2 linked regions of the Bombyx mori genome follow. The protein of the gene in region 1 interacts with the protein of each later gene in a pairwise test. Links are inferred from orthologs where the notes say so. Each region holds a gene or a part of one and is shown on either strand. Other genes may lie near its edges. The genes, in order: HMG box-containing protein 4 and mitochondrial matrix protein p33.

The links.
Region 2: the proteins of HMG box-containing protein 4 (region 1) and mitochondrial matrix protein p33 interact in a two-hybrid assay, tested with the Drosophila melanogaster proteins (2 studies listed by BioGRID). The link is inferred for Bombyx mori from reciprocal best matches to the Drosophila melanogaster genes CG4617 and P32.

What each region holds. Positions count from the first base shown.
Region 1 is NC_085129.1:19,396,699-19,404,826, reverse strand, and holds the start of HMG box-containing protein 4, read left to right. Parts: upstream 1-3,083; 5' UTR 3,084-3,320; coding exon 3,321-3,330; intron 3,331-3,567; coding exon 3,568-3,820; intron 3,821-4,499; coding exon 4,500-4,648; intron 4,649-5,846; coding exon 5,847-5,968; intron 5,969-7,219; coding exon 7,220-7,322; intron 7,323-7,999; coding exon 8,000-8,100; intron 8,101-8,128.
Region 2 is NC_085114.1:15,033,789-15,041,847, reverse strand, and holds the start of mitochondrial matrix protein p33, read left to right. Parts: upstream 1-3,670; 5' UTR 3,671-3,780; coding exon 3,781-4,015; intron 4,016-4,219; coding exon 4,220-4,261; intron 4,262-6,967; coding exon 6,968-7,118; intron 7,119-7,320; coding exon 7,321-7,517; intron 7,518-8,059. Other genes in the region: rRNA N6-adenosine-methyltransferase ZCCHC4, read right to left, coding at 502-743, 2,127-2,423.

The sequences.
Region 1 (8,128 bases):
GAGAATTGGGATAGTTACTTAGAAGGACTCGCGCCCTCTCATCAAGCATACTGGCGACTAGCAAGGACTCTCAAGTCCGAAACTACCGCTACTATGCCTCCTCTCGTACGCCCTTCAGGCCAACCACCGGCTTTCGATGACGATGACAAGGCAGAGTTGCTGGCCGATGCACTGCAAGAGCAGTGCACCACCAGCACTCAATACGCGGACCCCGAACACACCGAGGCAGTCGACAGGGAGGTCGAGCGCAGAGCTTCCCTGCCACCCTCGGACGCGTTACCCCCCATTACCTCTGACGAAGTTAGAGAAGTAATAGACAACCTTCAACCTAAGAAGGCACCCGGCTCCGACGGCATCCGCAACCGCGCGTTAAAACTCTTACCAGTCCAACTGATAACAATGTTGGCTACCATCTTAAATGCTGCTATGACGCACTGCATCTTTCCGGCGGTATGGAAAGAAGCAGACGTTATCGGTATACACAAGCCGGGCAAACCGAATAATGAAACCGCTAGTTACCGACCGATTAGTCTCCTCCCAGCGATAGGCAAAATTTACGAACGGCTCCTTCGGAAACGCCTCTGGGACTTCGTTACCGCGAATAAAATTCTAATAGACGAGCAGTTTGGATTCCGCGCCAAACACTCGTGCGTACAACAAGTGCACCGCCTCACGGAGCACATCTTAATAGGGCTAAATAGGCGTAAACAAATCCCGACCGGCGCCCTCTTCTTCGATGTAGCGAAGGCGTTCGACAAAGTCTGGCACAACGGTTTGATCTACAAACTGTACAACATGGGAGTGCCAGACAGACTCGTGCTCATCATACGAGACTTCTTGTCGAACCGTTCGTTTCGATATCGAGTAGAGGGAACTCGTTCTCGTCCCCGTCATCTGACTGCCGGAGTCCCGCAAGGCTCCGCACTCTCCCCGTTACTATTTAGTTTGTATATCAACGATATACCCCGGTCTCCGGAGACCCATCTAGCGCTCTTCGCCGATGACACGGCTATCTACTACTCGTGTAGGAAGATGTCGTTGCTTCATCGGCGACTCCAGACCGCAGTAACCACCATGGGACAGTGGTTCCGGAAGTGGCGAATAGACATTAACCCCACGAAAAGCACAGCGGTGCTATTCAAAAGGGGTCGCCCTCCGAATACCACTTCGAGCACCCCACTCCCCAGTAGGCGCGTAAACACCTCCGCCGTTAGCCCCATCACTCTCTTTGACCAGCCCATACCGTGGGCCCCGAAGGTCAAATACCTAGGCGTCACCCTCGACAGAGGGATGACATTCCGTCCCCACGTAAAAACGGTACGCGATCGCGCCGCGTTTATACTAGGACGACTCTACCCAATGCTTTGTAGACGAAGCAAACTGTCCCTCCGTAACAAGGTAACCCTCTACAAAACTTGCATACGCCCCGTCATGACGTATGCAAGCGTAGTGTTCGCTCACGCGGCCCGCACCAACTTGAAACCCCTTCAGGTAATACAATCCCGATTCTGCAGGATAGCCGTCGGAGCACCATGGTTCCAGAGGAACGTGGACCTCCACGATGACCTGGAGCTCGACCCCGTCAGTAAGTATCTACAGTCGGCATCGCTGCGCCACTTTGAAAAGGCGGCACGACATGAGAACCCTCTTGTCGTGGCCGCCGGAAACTACATACCCGATCCTGTAGACCGTTTGGTAAACCGTCGACGTCGCCCAAAGCACGTCATCACGGATCCTCCTGATCCACTAACGGTGCTTTTAGGCAATACAAGCACCGGTCACCGTCCTCGCCGAACCCGTCGCTTGCGACGAAGGGCTCGACGAGCGAATTAACCCACAGACACAGCCCACTGAGTTTCTCGCCGGATCTTCTCAGTGGGTCGCGCTTCCGATCCGGTGGTAGATTCTGCGAAGCACTGCTCTTGCTAGGGCGGTGTTAGCAATTCTCCGGTTTGAGCCCCGCGAGCTCACCTACACAAGCTAGGGTAAGCTGAAATAGCCTCTCAAGGCTATCAGCATAGGTAGGAAAAAAAAAAAAAAAAAAAAAAAAAAAAAAGACCCGAAAATAAAGCCGCATCCATACTAAGAGTAAACCTCTCCCCGTACAATACCATCGTCTGACCGATTAAAAACTAGCAACCGATACCCGGGTACCCTTTATATTCTTGGTACAAATGTATAGTAACTTAAAAAAGAAAATTGAACTTTCACATTTTTGGAAAGTATTTATAATTGAATATAACAGTTGAATTTCGTATAGTGTTCTTAGGAATTCTAAAGCATGTATAAAACGTGTGTGGGTTCACTGTAAATTTCTTATTTCTGAAACGGCCAGGTAAGTATATAAACTAAGGGGATATTTAAGAGCATATATTATTATTTAGTTGACACAATATACTTGTTGCCAGTTGATTTGCTATTCGGGTTCCCGCCAAAACGTTTGTACATCCGATCAAAATTCGCATATGTCCGGCGCGGCGGCGGCAGCCACAATACAACACAAGATTCATTGACAGATGCCTGAATCTCGCTAACGACATTTTCAAAATAAGTTTGAATCTATATTTTTTTTTTTTTTTTTTTCCTACCTATGCTGATAGCCTTGAGAGGCTATTTCAGCGTACCCTAGCTTGTGTAGGTGAGCTCGCGGGGCTCAAACCGGAGAATTGCTAACACCGCCCTAGCAAGAGCAGTGCTTCGCAGAATCTACCACCGGATCGGAAGCGCGACCCACTGAGAAGATCCGGCGAGAAACTCAGTGGGCTGTGTCTGTGGGTTAATTCGCTCGTCGAGCCCTTCGTCGCAAGCGACGGGTTCGGCGAGGACGGTGACCGGTGCTTGTATTGCCTAAAAGCACCTTGAATCTATAGAAGATCCAAACAACAGCATTGGGACCATCAGTCTACGTAGCAATTACACCCATTCGACGGTAGACCTTGCCTTTGTCATTAATCTCCCAAAAGCTTAAATTACTGGCTTCTCGTGTTCTTCTAAAAGGCCTATTGTACTCCTAGTGAATTTCTCCTCGGAGTATTTTTATCTCATCGAACACTTTTATTCTGCTTTTTAGTTGTGTCCATTCCACACTCATCATTTCGTTCTCTTTACATTCCGATCTTTGTTTAGTATGTTTCGTCTTGTTCCAAAAGGCTTGGCTCTTAACCTCGGTTTCTTTTGCTTATCATATAAATCAAACAAACGAAAAATAAAATGAAAATAAACTGCCATCTGTCATTTCTAACACTTATGCTTGGGTTTTATTATTTATTGATTTTTATTAACTCTTTTAATACGACTGTAGAAAAGACGTGAATAAAGAGATGCAGGAAGGTAACTAATAAATACAATACATTTACTGTATGGAATTCAAGTCAATATAAGTTTTAAACGTGTTTAATAACACGTAAAATGATATAGTACTTTAACATCATTTTGATTAGTGGTATTGTGTTGTTAAGTAATAAATAAGTGATCAAGGGCAAATCACGGTCGTCTGGCCCTATACTGGGACTCTGTCGCAACCAAATTATGGATCGTACGTATTTAAGACATGAAATACTATTTCAGATTTAGAAGTCACCGGTATATCGAGGAGTGGTCGGGTTAGAAAGAAGAGTTCCAAGCTAATGGACTTTGAGTCGCCCGACGATATCGAGACTAGGTTCAGGCGCCAGACACCCGTCAAGACATACACCACAAGTCGTCAGGAGGAACCTGACTACAGTATCCAGGAAACACCTCAGAGGCCGGTCGAGGAGGTGAACACTGCATCGGGAAGCGAATCTGATTATTATGAGAATAATGCTGAAAACGCTGATAGGTAAAGTTTCACCACTGGCAGCCAGAAAATAGTCCCTTGAGTAACTTCTTAGCATTATTCACTTAAACACCTCCTTATTCTATATTAAACAAAAAAAAAACTGTATACACATTATGTTACAACATACAAGTTGAGTTGAATAAATCTGTTTTAAACATTAGTAAATAATCTCTGAAAAACATAAGAACATAAAATTTATTGTATACATGAAATGTATAATACTCTAATTCTTATTCATCTTTCTTTCTTCTTCTTCTTCTTTGTCGTTTCCTCATTCCTGAGGGTCGTGACCACCTTGGTCCAGTTTTTGCATCAGCTTCCTCCAAGGCTGCCTGCATTCGGCCTGCTTAATGGCGCCCGGGACTCTGGTGTTTGTGGCCTCCTTGATAATGTCCGTCCACCTTTAGGTTACCTAAAAACTAGCAATTTTCTCTTAATATATAATAAATTTAATAGCTGTGTATTTGTTATAATATAACTGCTATGGTTATATTGTTTGTTAATTGAACTTACAGATATATTGAAAAATAGTTTTGTAGTCCGGGCTGATTAATGCGATAGCTGTACTGCATGTCAAAGTAATTATCTGACAACTTATCAAAAGTGGAAAGACAAATTTCGCATAATATATTAAAAACTCAGTGCCGCTTCAATTCACAGTAATGAATTTTACCTCTAGCTTGGAATCAGACAGTTCGGCTTCTGAAGAGGGATCGGCCCGTACTCCGGCTAACTCATTGTACATGATGGAGAAGAATAGTAAGAAGAAGCTAATTGTGAAGGATGGCCGAGTCATTGGCAGGGCTAAAGCTCAGCGAAAAGATAAAGGTATCTTTTTTCCCCCACCTAATCATTGGTAGCCTAAGGGGCTATTGCAACTTCAAATAGACCGATAGGTGAGATCACGGGCTTAACTTGAGAGAATTGCTAACACAAACCTTAGCAAGAGTGGTGCTTTCCTGAATCTACCACCAGATTAGAATAGGCACAGACTGAGAATATCCAGTGAGAAACTCAGTGGGCTGTGTCTATGGGAAATCTGTCTTATTACCCTTTGTTAAACTTGTATTATGTACAAAAAAACATAGACAAACAGTTTCTAACTAAGTATATTGGTAAGATGAGAAATTGCTTAAACTATGTATGAGATGAAATTTTATAAACATTTTCAAAGTTCCTACTAGCGCAATCTGGCCAAGCCCTGATGTATGCCATCATATTCATTTGAAACTAACCATGAAAAAACCATCCCTGAAGTATATTTAGATATACATACAATAGATCTTCTTATAAAGAAGTGAAAGGTTATGTGGTTTAATGGCACCATTTCGATTAATACGTGACAATTATATTTGTAATTAAAGATCTGTTTTATCTGATACTAGTTTTTGCCCGCGACATCGTCCGCGTGGAATTGTTACTTTGGCATAACAAATAACAATTTGTAATGAATATTTATTTGGATATCATCTCTATAAAAACACCTACATTAATAATTCTTTATTATAGAACAAATTTGGTTAGCATAAAAAATGTTATAGTGAGCCAACCTGAAAAGACATATACTCTCATGAATTTTTTTTCAGAGCTTTTAAAGGGCAACAATTTTGTCATACATTATTTTAGCGAAACTTTAACCGTTACCGCAGCACACGCAGTGGAAGCTCTCAAAAGGGAAAAAACCCTGATTTTGAAAGATTATTTATTGGTGCTCTGCTTACATTGGTCTAGCGCGATGTTATATAGCTCATAGCCTTCCTCGAAAAACGAGCTATCTGACACTGATTGATTTTTTCAAATCGGATCAGCAGTTCCTGAGATTAGCACGTTCAAACAAACAAACAAACTCTTCAGCTTTATAATATAGTATAAAGAATTCGAAGTTTTTAATTGAACTTCAATTATGTTTATCACATTCAAATGGCTGAAGTTTTTGTCATTGCATTTTTTCCAAACTTTGAACTTTAAATGATTTTACTGATACCACTGTAATACCACCGTGTTTCAAATTACTGTACCTTCACAGGAAAAACACGAATTACAGCCTATATGATGTGGGCGAAAGAGGCCCGCAATGAACTGCTTAAGAAACACCCTGATATGGATTTCTCGGCTATATCAAAACGACTTGGAGAAATGTGGTCTAATGTGAGTATAATGTAATAACTAGAAACAAATTTTGGGTTTTAAAAAAAGAAAGATTTGGTCGGATGGCCTTATTAAACTATTGCATAGCTTTTATCGCGGGGTATGAACGCGGCGACCGAATCAAGAAATTCCGTAACGAAAATAAAACCTAACACCCCACTCCGCCTACCATGTAGCTCGCGTTCAACACATTCATACGGTGCGCTTGTGTAATGTTTGTGAATAAGCGCGCGGCGTGACGTCGCACTACATGCGCATCATGAAAAGTCTGCCCATCTCTCTCTCGCGCGGTCCAGCTTATGAATGTGAATGGGACAATTAATTTTTTGCTTATATGTTTATAAATATAGCGTGGTCTTATTTTATTATTGTTTTAATATTAAATTATTATTGTCCAATTATAATTGCATAAGTTGATAAAGAATGCTATGCAATAATAGCTTTACCGCGGCAGTCCCCGAGTGCCACACGTGTTTAATTTTTCCACATTTCTGCACTTTCACAGATATTAAACAGTTCATAAAAAAACCGTTATTACACATTTAAGCCTGAAGAAACACTAAATAGACAAAATAAAACAAATCACACAATGACTCCTCTCGTTCCCGCCAAAAAGTCTCGACTGACTTCTAGTGGCGGAAATTCCGACTCAGATATGCCAGTGTTGCACGCTACAAGATATTCTACAAATATAATATTAAAATATAATATTCATACAATGACATGTACTTGTAGTAGCGATGTATGATGCATTAGAAAAAAAGGGTGCGTGTACTTATGTACGCGCGTAAGAAGTTATACTTTATTTTTATTAAATTCATTTCTTTATTTTTTTAATATTAAATAAATAATTAATAATAAATATTTAACGTTAATAATTTAATAATATTTAGTATGAATTATATTAAATATAAATACACAGTGAACAGAGGCGGCGTGCGTGCCAACACGCGCCACTAACAGAGGTTCCATTTCTGTTTTGTTGGTAGCATTTTTTCTTTAGTGGGCAACTTCATTTCTGTTCATTTTGTGTCACGGTGCGCGCGCATCGTAAAATTTCACTCGCATCAATTTTTTATAACGCGCCTAAAGAAGTATAACTTCAAAATAAGTTTAAGTCTTTTTGTCGGATCTGCTGTGGTCGTTATAGTTTAAAAGAATTTATAAAGGCCCACTTTAATAAAAAATATTCAGAGTATTCTTCTGTATGAAGTAGTTGAAGTATTCGTGAATTCCTAATGAATGTTTCAGGTGAATTACAACGAGAGATACTTGTGGAAGCGCAAAGCCAAGAGATTCGCCATACAGAAGGAGCAAAACAATCAAGTTATCAACAAAATCATATCCAATCCGAGTAAGTTTACACTTTATAGACTTATTGTTGTGTGTGTGTTGTGTGTGTGTGTGTGTGTGTGTGTGTTTTGTACAGCCCCATAGATATCACGACGTAAATGTCGCCTTGTGACATGAGGTCGGAAGGCAAGTCTCAAATTGTAATAAATTATAATATTAAAATGTTTGTGCCCCACTCTTTAAACTGGAACATGTAACTGTTACGCCATTATTCATTCATCTTGGAAGTAGTTCGTGGCCATTTTATTTTTTATTTTTTATTGGTTATATGGGTGGACGATCTCACGACCCGCCTGGTGTTGAGGGGTTACCGAAGCCCATAGACATCTACTACGTAAATGGCGCCACCCACCTTGAGACATTTTTTTTTCCTACCTAAGCTGAGAGCCTTGAGAGGCTATATCAGCGTAGCCTTAACTAGTAGGTGAGCTCTCACGGGGCTCAAACCTGATGACGTTACTAACACTGACCCTAGCAAGAGCTGTGCTTCGCAGAATCTACCACCGGATCGGAACGCGACCCACTGAGAAGATCCGGCGAGAAACTCAGTGAGCTGTGTCTGAGGGTTAATTTACTCGTCGAGCCCTTCGTCGCAAGCGACGGGTTCGATGAGGACGATGACCGGCCTTGAGACCTGAGTTCTAAGTAACATTTAAAGAACTCTAACTTCTCCCGCAGGTGTGAGGCCGGCGAACCCCGGGCCGGGCCGTCCATCCGTCGGGCGCCCCCCGCGCACCCCCGCCGCCGCACCCCCCGCACCCCCCCAGCTCGCCATCACGGTAACTACACCAAACTTACTCGTTGAGC
Region 2 (8,059 bases), on another chromosome or scaffold:
GAACTATCCATTAATCTGAAACTATATATCAGATCAAGTTGTTCAAGCCAAGTTAGGTTCTACAATATGGAGTCCTTAAGAGAGTGAAAGTGTCAGAGCCAGACCACTCAAATATCAGTTATTTCCTTTTGAACTCTAAACAGAAGTGGGCTATTTGGATTGTCCATACTCCCATTCTGAAGTTTGAGACAATTTCCTTGTTACTATCACACCTCCTACTACCAGAGCAGAGTTCACACATACTATCTTGACAGTTGTGTTCAGATACTTTTTGCCACATGCCATGCAACTCTAGGATGAATACCCTTCGCAGTATTTACAGAGTGCCATAATATATTCTTCTTTAAATGAGGTCTGCAGAGTCCTCAGAAGTAGACAGCAGCTTGGCTGTGCCCCTGTCATTGCCCAAATCCATTAGCGAAGGTAACAACTTATCATCAAGTGGGCCACATGATTGTCTACCTAAATGAAAAAAAAAAATTATTAGCAGAATAAACAAACCTTATGCTATTGTTTTTGAGTATACCCAGCACAGTGCCGGCAGATTTCTTTGTGAACAAGTACTGTGCTTCAACTGCATCATTCTCCAATAATGGCAACCATGATGAAGGTTGTTTGAGCTGCTCATCCATAAGTGGAGTGATGACTCTGTGGTCTTTACCATGTTTTTTTGTTTTTGACACTATGTACAGTTCTTGGCATGTGTTACAGTAGGCCCGGTCAGATACTGGCCTTGATCTAACCTATTCAAAAAAAGAGATTTATGTTTTCTTATAATATAAGAATGAAATGAACAATAAAAACTCTCATTACACATAACATAACATGACACTTAAAAAACTCAGTGGCAATTATGTACCAAATTACAATTAGTTTGGTGAAGGCGTTTTTTTTGAAGTGAAAACTTCTTTAGAATCGTTGTGATTTCAAACCGGATGCAACGGAAAAAACGACAGGTAAGAGACACAAATACAAAAGAATGAGACAGAAATATACATACTATTTAATACAGCGCCATCTGTGAGATTTTTTTAATACTAATGTGTGTATGAAAGCTCTTGTAGTGAATTTTAATTTAGGATTATACGTGAAATTAAAATATCAATTCACAGAGGGCGCTACCTTACAATTATTTACTAATGACAAAATTTTAAGACGTTTAGGATACAGTCAAACCTGGATAAGCGAGAGTTCAAGGGAGCACAATCTCATTCTCGCTTATAGAGGTTTCTCACTAACCCGAGTTTCTCTCTAATGCTCCCTCTGAATTTCATTTAGAGATTTTACGGATTCAAACGAATTCACTATTTTAAGTTTATCACTTAATGACAGTAGTTTAATTTTCCGTTTTGACATTATGCAGAACAGAACTTTCCTTCGCAATTGATTAACGATAAACTGGGTAAGTCTGACAAACAAGATGGTACACAGGCACACGTGTCCATTTGAAAAGAATGCCATAAAATAATAACGTTATTTAGTTCCACGAAATAGAATAGGTTCAATATTGACGAGAAAACAATACAAAAACAATGTTAAGAAGTTCCACGAAAGTTAAAAAATGCGTCATAAAATATTAGATTTTAAATTTGTAATTTGTTTTGTCATTTGTTCCTCCTAAATAATATAAATAAATAAAGCTCGACTGTCGCTTATAGAGGTATAGAATAGTAGCAGTCTCACTTACGGAGGTTCATGAGGGAAAAATACTCCCTCTTATAGAGGTTTCCGTTTCTCGCTAATAGAGGTTTTAGGAGCTAAAAATGACGGGTCCTGGCTATTACTCTCACTTATAGAGTTTTCTCACTTATCCAGTTCTCACTTACCCAGGTTTGACTGTAATTGTATTTTAATTTTGGAAGGTTTCACTTCTACCACGTGTGAATTGCACACATGTAAATTTTTTTTAAAGTAAGTATTTGTCACAATTTTACATTATTAATACACTACTATTTACTTTCTGATCAGAGTAGAGTTTGACAGACAAAGTGACCATCTACTTTATCCCAAAATTCCTGATTCCGAAACTTTTTTTTACCAACGTTACTTTTTAACAACTTTAAAATATCTTCCGAATTATCAATTACCAAACTCGGCAATCAGAAATCTGTAGAAAACATTCTAACCTCCGCAAAGTTATTCCACGCTTGATTTTTATTGATCGTTGGAATTAGGCTATAGTACTTTTCATTTCGTTTCTTGACGTTCTCCTTCAACCAGTCTTCTTCGCTGATGTGTACTGTGCAGTCTTTTTTGTTCCTGCACGACGAACATGCGAAATATCGACCTTTTTCGCTAGAAAATAATAGTGTTGGCCCGTGCATGCACAGTGGGTGATTTGTTACGTCTTCTATGACTACTTCGACCGGTGCTGACTTAGGTGTGTCGCCCAATTTTGACATAATCTTTCGCTTTTTCGCCATTGCAAACTATTTATAATTTAATTTGCGTTTAATATTGTATAGCTTGAATAAAAACACGTTCCAACCAAGTCCAAGTTGTTAAATGTCAATTGTCAAAAACTTATCCTAAATTTTTATCGTTCCAATGGGCTAGCAAGGGGAATGTTGCCCGTACGTTATCTTATGTAACACACACCCGAAGTCTATTTAACAAAATTTATCGAGTTTTAAAAAAGTCCAGGTGGCTCTAGATGTACTCGTCATTTTACTGAAAAGTTATTTTATGTCACCAGAAATGATAAATGATCACTTGTGATGGTCTTATCTAATTTTACCTCATTTAAACGTTAGCAGTAGTGAAATAAAAATAATAAAAGCGAGATTAAACCGCAAATCACGTTTAAATTTTAAAAAATACCGAACCCGAAAAACTCATTTTACGAAAAACTACATTCAATGGATTTGTTTCATTTTTGTGCACTTTCACAAATGTTCAGAAATAGAATAAAACAGCTGGTTTTATGCAATTAACTCTCGAAGCGTTTAACCCTCAGACATAGCCACAGCCCACTGAGTTTCTCGACGGATCTTCTCAGTGGGTCGCGATTCCGATCCGGTGATAGATTCTGCGAAGCATGGCTCTTGCTAGGATTCGTGTTCACGGGGCTCAAACTTGATGACATTGCTATCATCAAGTTTGAGCCCCGTGAGCTCACCTATTAGTTAAGGCGATGCTGATATAGCCTCTCAAGGCTCAGCTTAGTTAGGTAAAAAAAAACCGGAGCGAATGAAAAAGTTTGATTTAAATTAAAGAAATAATTTGATTTAAATTAAGTAAATTATTTACAGACTCCCGCCATTTGACACAAAGTATTCGATTGCGCCAGACCGGGAATGAGTTCAGGATATGCCATCACCCACCTTGAGAAACAAAACTGGCATAGGCATGTATTAACAATAGGGAAAGGTCGATATCTATCCATGCATGCATGTCGCATATATTACTACCAGTTTTTTCTTTATATTTATTTTAACTTTAAATACACGGTTCCACCTTACGAAACAGAAGATTCAGTTTCATATTATGTTAAAAATATTCATCTCATCCAACTCCTAAAATGTTGCATCCTCTCATTTAAATCTATTTCATTTCATTCAATTTCATGTCCATAATTATTTCATTTATAGTTTTTAAGCACTGACTTCAGCTTTTCCGAAGCAAAAATCTTGTATAGGCTATTCCTTTGCCCCTCCAATAGACGAATCGTGAAACAACTAAAGTCGTCTGTGGTCTCAATTCTCATTCACTTTTTCAACCTGACTAAAGTTTTGTAAAAAAATTTAGAAAAGTGAACATTAAGTTCAATAAGCAGGAAAAATGAGCGGCATAGTTAAAGCGACCCATAGAGTGCTGCAAACATGCGTTAAAACTGCGAACTTAAGCGGGTTGGTTAGTCGCACACAGACGGCTGTGAAACGCGACTTTACTAGGGGTATATGGCACATGAGCTGCTCTCGAAGGTTAGATGGGACCCTGGCTTCCACCAGCTTGCTACACAACCATTCCAATACTTGCAGCTGCGGCTGCGGGTTGAAGGCGCTTCACACGAAAGGTATTAAATTTCCGGCTATCTCCATTATAGGTTATAATTACACCATGCTTCGTTGGTCTTTAAATGTATCACCAATAATAAAATAAGGTATTTGTTAACGTTAATTTAAAAGGAAATTATTTTTTCTAACAAATTTGTTGCACACAAATGACGAAATAATGGGAAATCATTAGACAAATTTAATACTTTAAATGCGTTTTCTAGCCGATAAAGAAGACGAACACTCCATTAAACCCAAGCCCCTTGGTGAGTCCTAATCCTATTCCTTAACTAGTAAGTTCTGCGGTGGTACTAGCTTCATGTTAAATTGATGAACTGAACAAAACTAAAATTATATGGACATATGAATATATTTAAATAAAATTTTGATCATCACCAAAAAGTACTAATACTCTGAACAAAATTTATCATATTTTAATATTATGTACTTACATCAGATCATTAGCCTTTTTGAAAAAAACACATCTTGCATCACAGGTTGTGCACTAAATGCAAAATTCAGAAACCTGGTGCGTAATATCAAAAACAAATGTACCCACTAACAATTCAATTGGATAATTTTTTTTTAATACAATACAAATAAACTATGAGTTCTCATTCAGAAACAAAACGGGACAATTAATCAGGGTATGGGTTTGAAATGCATCAACATTCTGTAGGTCCAATGCTTAGCTCATTCAAATCAATTTAGTAACAACAATAACATTGAAGATTAAATTAATTAGTCATTGAGGTAAATTTGGGAGTTTACAGAATTATTCAAAATTAAAAAAATCATCCCTGCAAAATTATCTTGGGCCTTTCAAAATCAGAAAGGTCTTAGAATCAAGCAGGGTACATTAAAAACACACTTTCATCCAGGAATGAAATTAAAGATTTTCATTCCTGCATAGAGGTATGTGACATTCTTTCCAGTTTTAGTGTGGGTGTGCTCTTTCTTTCAATTTAGAATAGGAATAACATTTATATTTTAAAATTTAAAATAATCTATTTCACCATTTTTAGAATAACGATTATTTCAAATCCTAATAACATGTATTATAAACATGGATAAATTTTTCAATATCCAATATACATAATAATATATCAATGTATAATGGTGATAACACGTGTTGCAATACTGTAGCACTGTATTTCTATCACTAAGCAGTTACGTGTTCAAGTTTGAAGGCATTAAATAAATCAATTAAGATCACAATCTCATGTTTCAAGGTGGGTGACAGAATTTATGTTGTGATGTCTGTAAGTTCTGTAATCACTTAACATCTGGTGGTCTATGAGCACATTTACCATCTAAGCAAATTCAAATTCAAATTCAAAATCATTTATTTCAACTTAGATGTCAGTATGACACACTTGTTGAATGTCAAAATACAAATAACAATGTTAACTCTACCACCGGTTCCAAAAAAAGCCACAGTCCTGAGAAGAACCGGCGAAACAAACTCAGCAGGCTTTTTTTTTTGTTTTTTTCTCAAATATTTTCTTTTTTTTAAATAAATAGAAATATTCACAATAAAAGAAAAAACAAGTCAAAAAAATACAATTAAAAAAAAAATTATAATAATGAAAAATGAAAAGGCCAGGAGTGAGCGCCTCATTCCCACGTAGTGCCATCTAGTAAATAATCCTTAGCTTTAAACAGTTTTCTTAAATCTACGAACAGGTAGTAGTTGAACGTTTAGTGGGATCTTGTTGAGCAAAAAAAGCATAAAAATAATTCCATTTGCTAATGGTATTCAATTAAATGTAATAATTGAAATCCTTAAATAGGACAGACATTACAAATAGGCAATGCTCATTTGCAGATAATCATTCATTTATTTATATTGTAAAGGACACCCTTGATTTTCTAGCCCCAATAGAAAACCTTGAAAAGTATTATTTTAACTTTAATTAGTACTGTGAGGATCTTTGATCAGTGTGCGCTGCATGTTGGTGTAGTTACTAATTAAAAAAAATAGTTACAGTCAAAACCGTTTACTGCGACATCGTTTAATACAACATGCCGGTTATAATAACCAAGAACAAAGGTCCCGGCTGAATGCCATATGACCGCCTTATTAAAAATATTGGTAATAACGACATACCTCATAAAACAACCACATTTAACTAATATTTCGGAGAATTAGATCTGTTAGAACGACCGGCTAGCTGTATTGTAAACTATTTGAATAGGTATCCACATTTGTCTTCAATGGCTATTAAAATCAGGAAAGAAAACAATAGGATTTAGTTTAGTGTAGGGTCTTTTCTAATTCTTAGAAACAAAACACGTGCATGCGGTAGTCAAAGCCCGCTTCTTCATATCTCTTCAGTTAGTTTGTTACTTATCTATACACAAGACGCACCAAAACTTTGTGGAGTTATTCGTGAAACTTTCAAAATGTCGCAAAGAAAAAGAAAACAAATTAATATTGAAGAAAAATCGCGTATTATGTAAATATATTTTTCCAATAACTCTCTATCGATTTGTTTGTACTTGCACGATACACATTAAACATCACCGGTTGTTACGACTATCGGTTTTTGCGACTTAATATGAGCAGTCCCTTCGATGTCGTTATAACAGATTTTGACTGTATATCCAAACTCGCTATCTGTAGTACTATTCTCTACTCTAAAAATGTTAACATCCTACTAACTTATATTCTGACAGGCACAATGAAATATAGTGTTGAATAGTATAGTTGGATTTTCTCTGTTGATCTGCAGTTATTACTATTCATCATTATAATCAAGAGTAATGTAAATCTAATGTAGTTGTTGTAGTTAATAAAATAGTAGTGAAATGAGAGAAATTAAAAAAATACCTTGTTTGTGTATTATAAACTTGTTGTTTGTTGATTAAAATTCATTACCTACTTATTGAATGTTTTACAGTATTGTAGAATAAATTGCACTTATTTTCATTCTCAATGTACATAATAAAACCAATTTATATAAATTCAGGTGAAAGAGAACTGGTAGAGTTCCTGACAGAAGAAATAGTTGCTGAACGCAAAGCACAGAAGGTCAAGTCTCTCCCTGCTGAAGTCGAAGGCTTTACTGTAAAGGGAGACGGTGCTGAAGTTGTTTTAACAAAGCAGCTTAAAGATGAAACGTAAGTAATGAAATCTTGAGAAGGAGAAATATTGAATAATTTTTTTTTGGGGAAACAGTTGTTAATAAATGTTGCCAAATACTTATTTTACTGCCCAGCAATCTTCGTCAATTTGTTGAAATTCGAAAAACTAAAGAAACAAGCCCACAGAAATATCATTAAAAATAGTGAAATTTTAAGTCTAACTATATATTTTTTTCAGAATTCGTGTCACATTCAACGTTAATCACACTGTGGACTCTGATGACTTTGAGGGTGATGTTCAGACTGAGAAGCAAGAGTTCTCTGAGATGCGTTCCAAACCTCAGTTTGAGGTTGACCTAGTCCGAGGAGACACCACCCTTGGTTTCACCTGCTCCTATCTTCAAGATCCACCTGCAGCTTCTGCTGATGAATATAGTGAGTATACATAAACTTAATTATTTCTTGATTCTGATTAATCAAATGGGTCTAAAGATTGAGTACTAAGAAGTCAAAATAGTCTGTTTACCATATCGACGCTTGAAAGACAAACGTGACTAAGCGACAATAACTGCTTTGTACATAAATGATAGGTAATAACCATATTCAATGCACAAAAAAAAATATTTCTAGGTCTATTAAAAGCATTCCAATCCTACAGCTACTAGCTAGATTCTACTACAGCTAGATTCATTAAAATAAATTTTGTTTTCAAATATTTCAACTTTAAATTAGTCTACTGTAAAGTTCACGCACTGTCGCTTAGTCACATTTGCCTTTCAAGTGTCGATATACAATTTACAAAGAAAAAAGTTTATTTCAGTTTAGAATTTGGTGATAGTGCAAGAATGTGTCAAGACTCACCCTCCCCTTTCCTTTTTTCCCTTTTTGTTTCTGCCATAATACAATTAATATATAACCTCAATCTTAAATATCAAGGTGTCATCATTATTCACTTTTGATCTGTGTATAGGGGTATC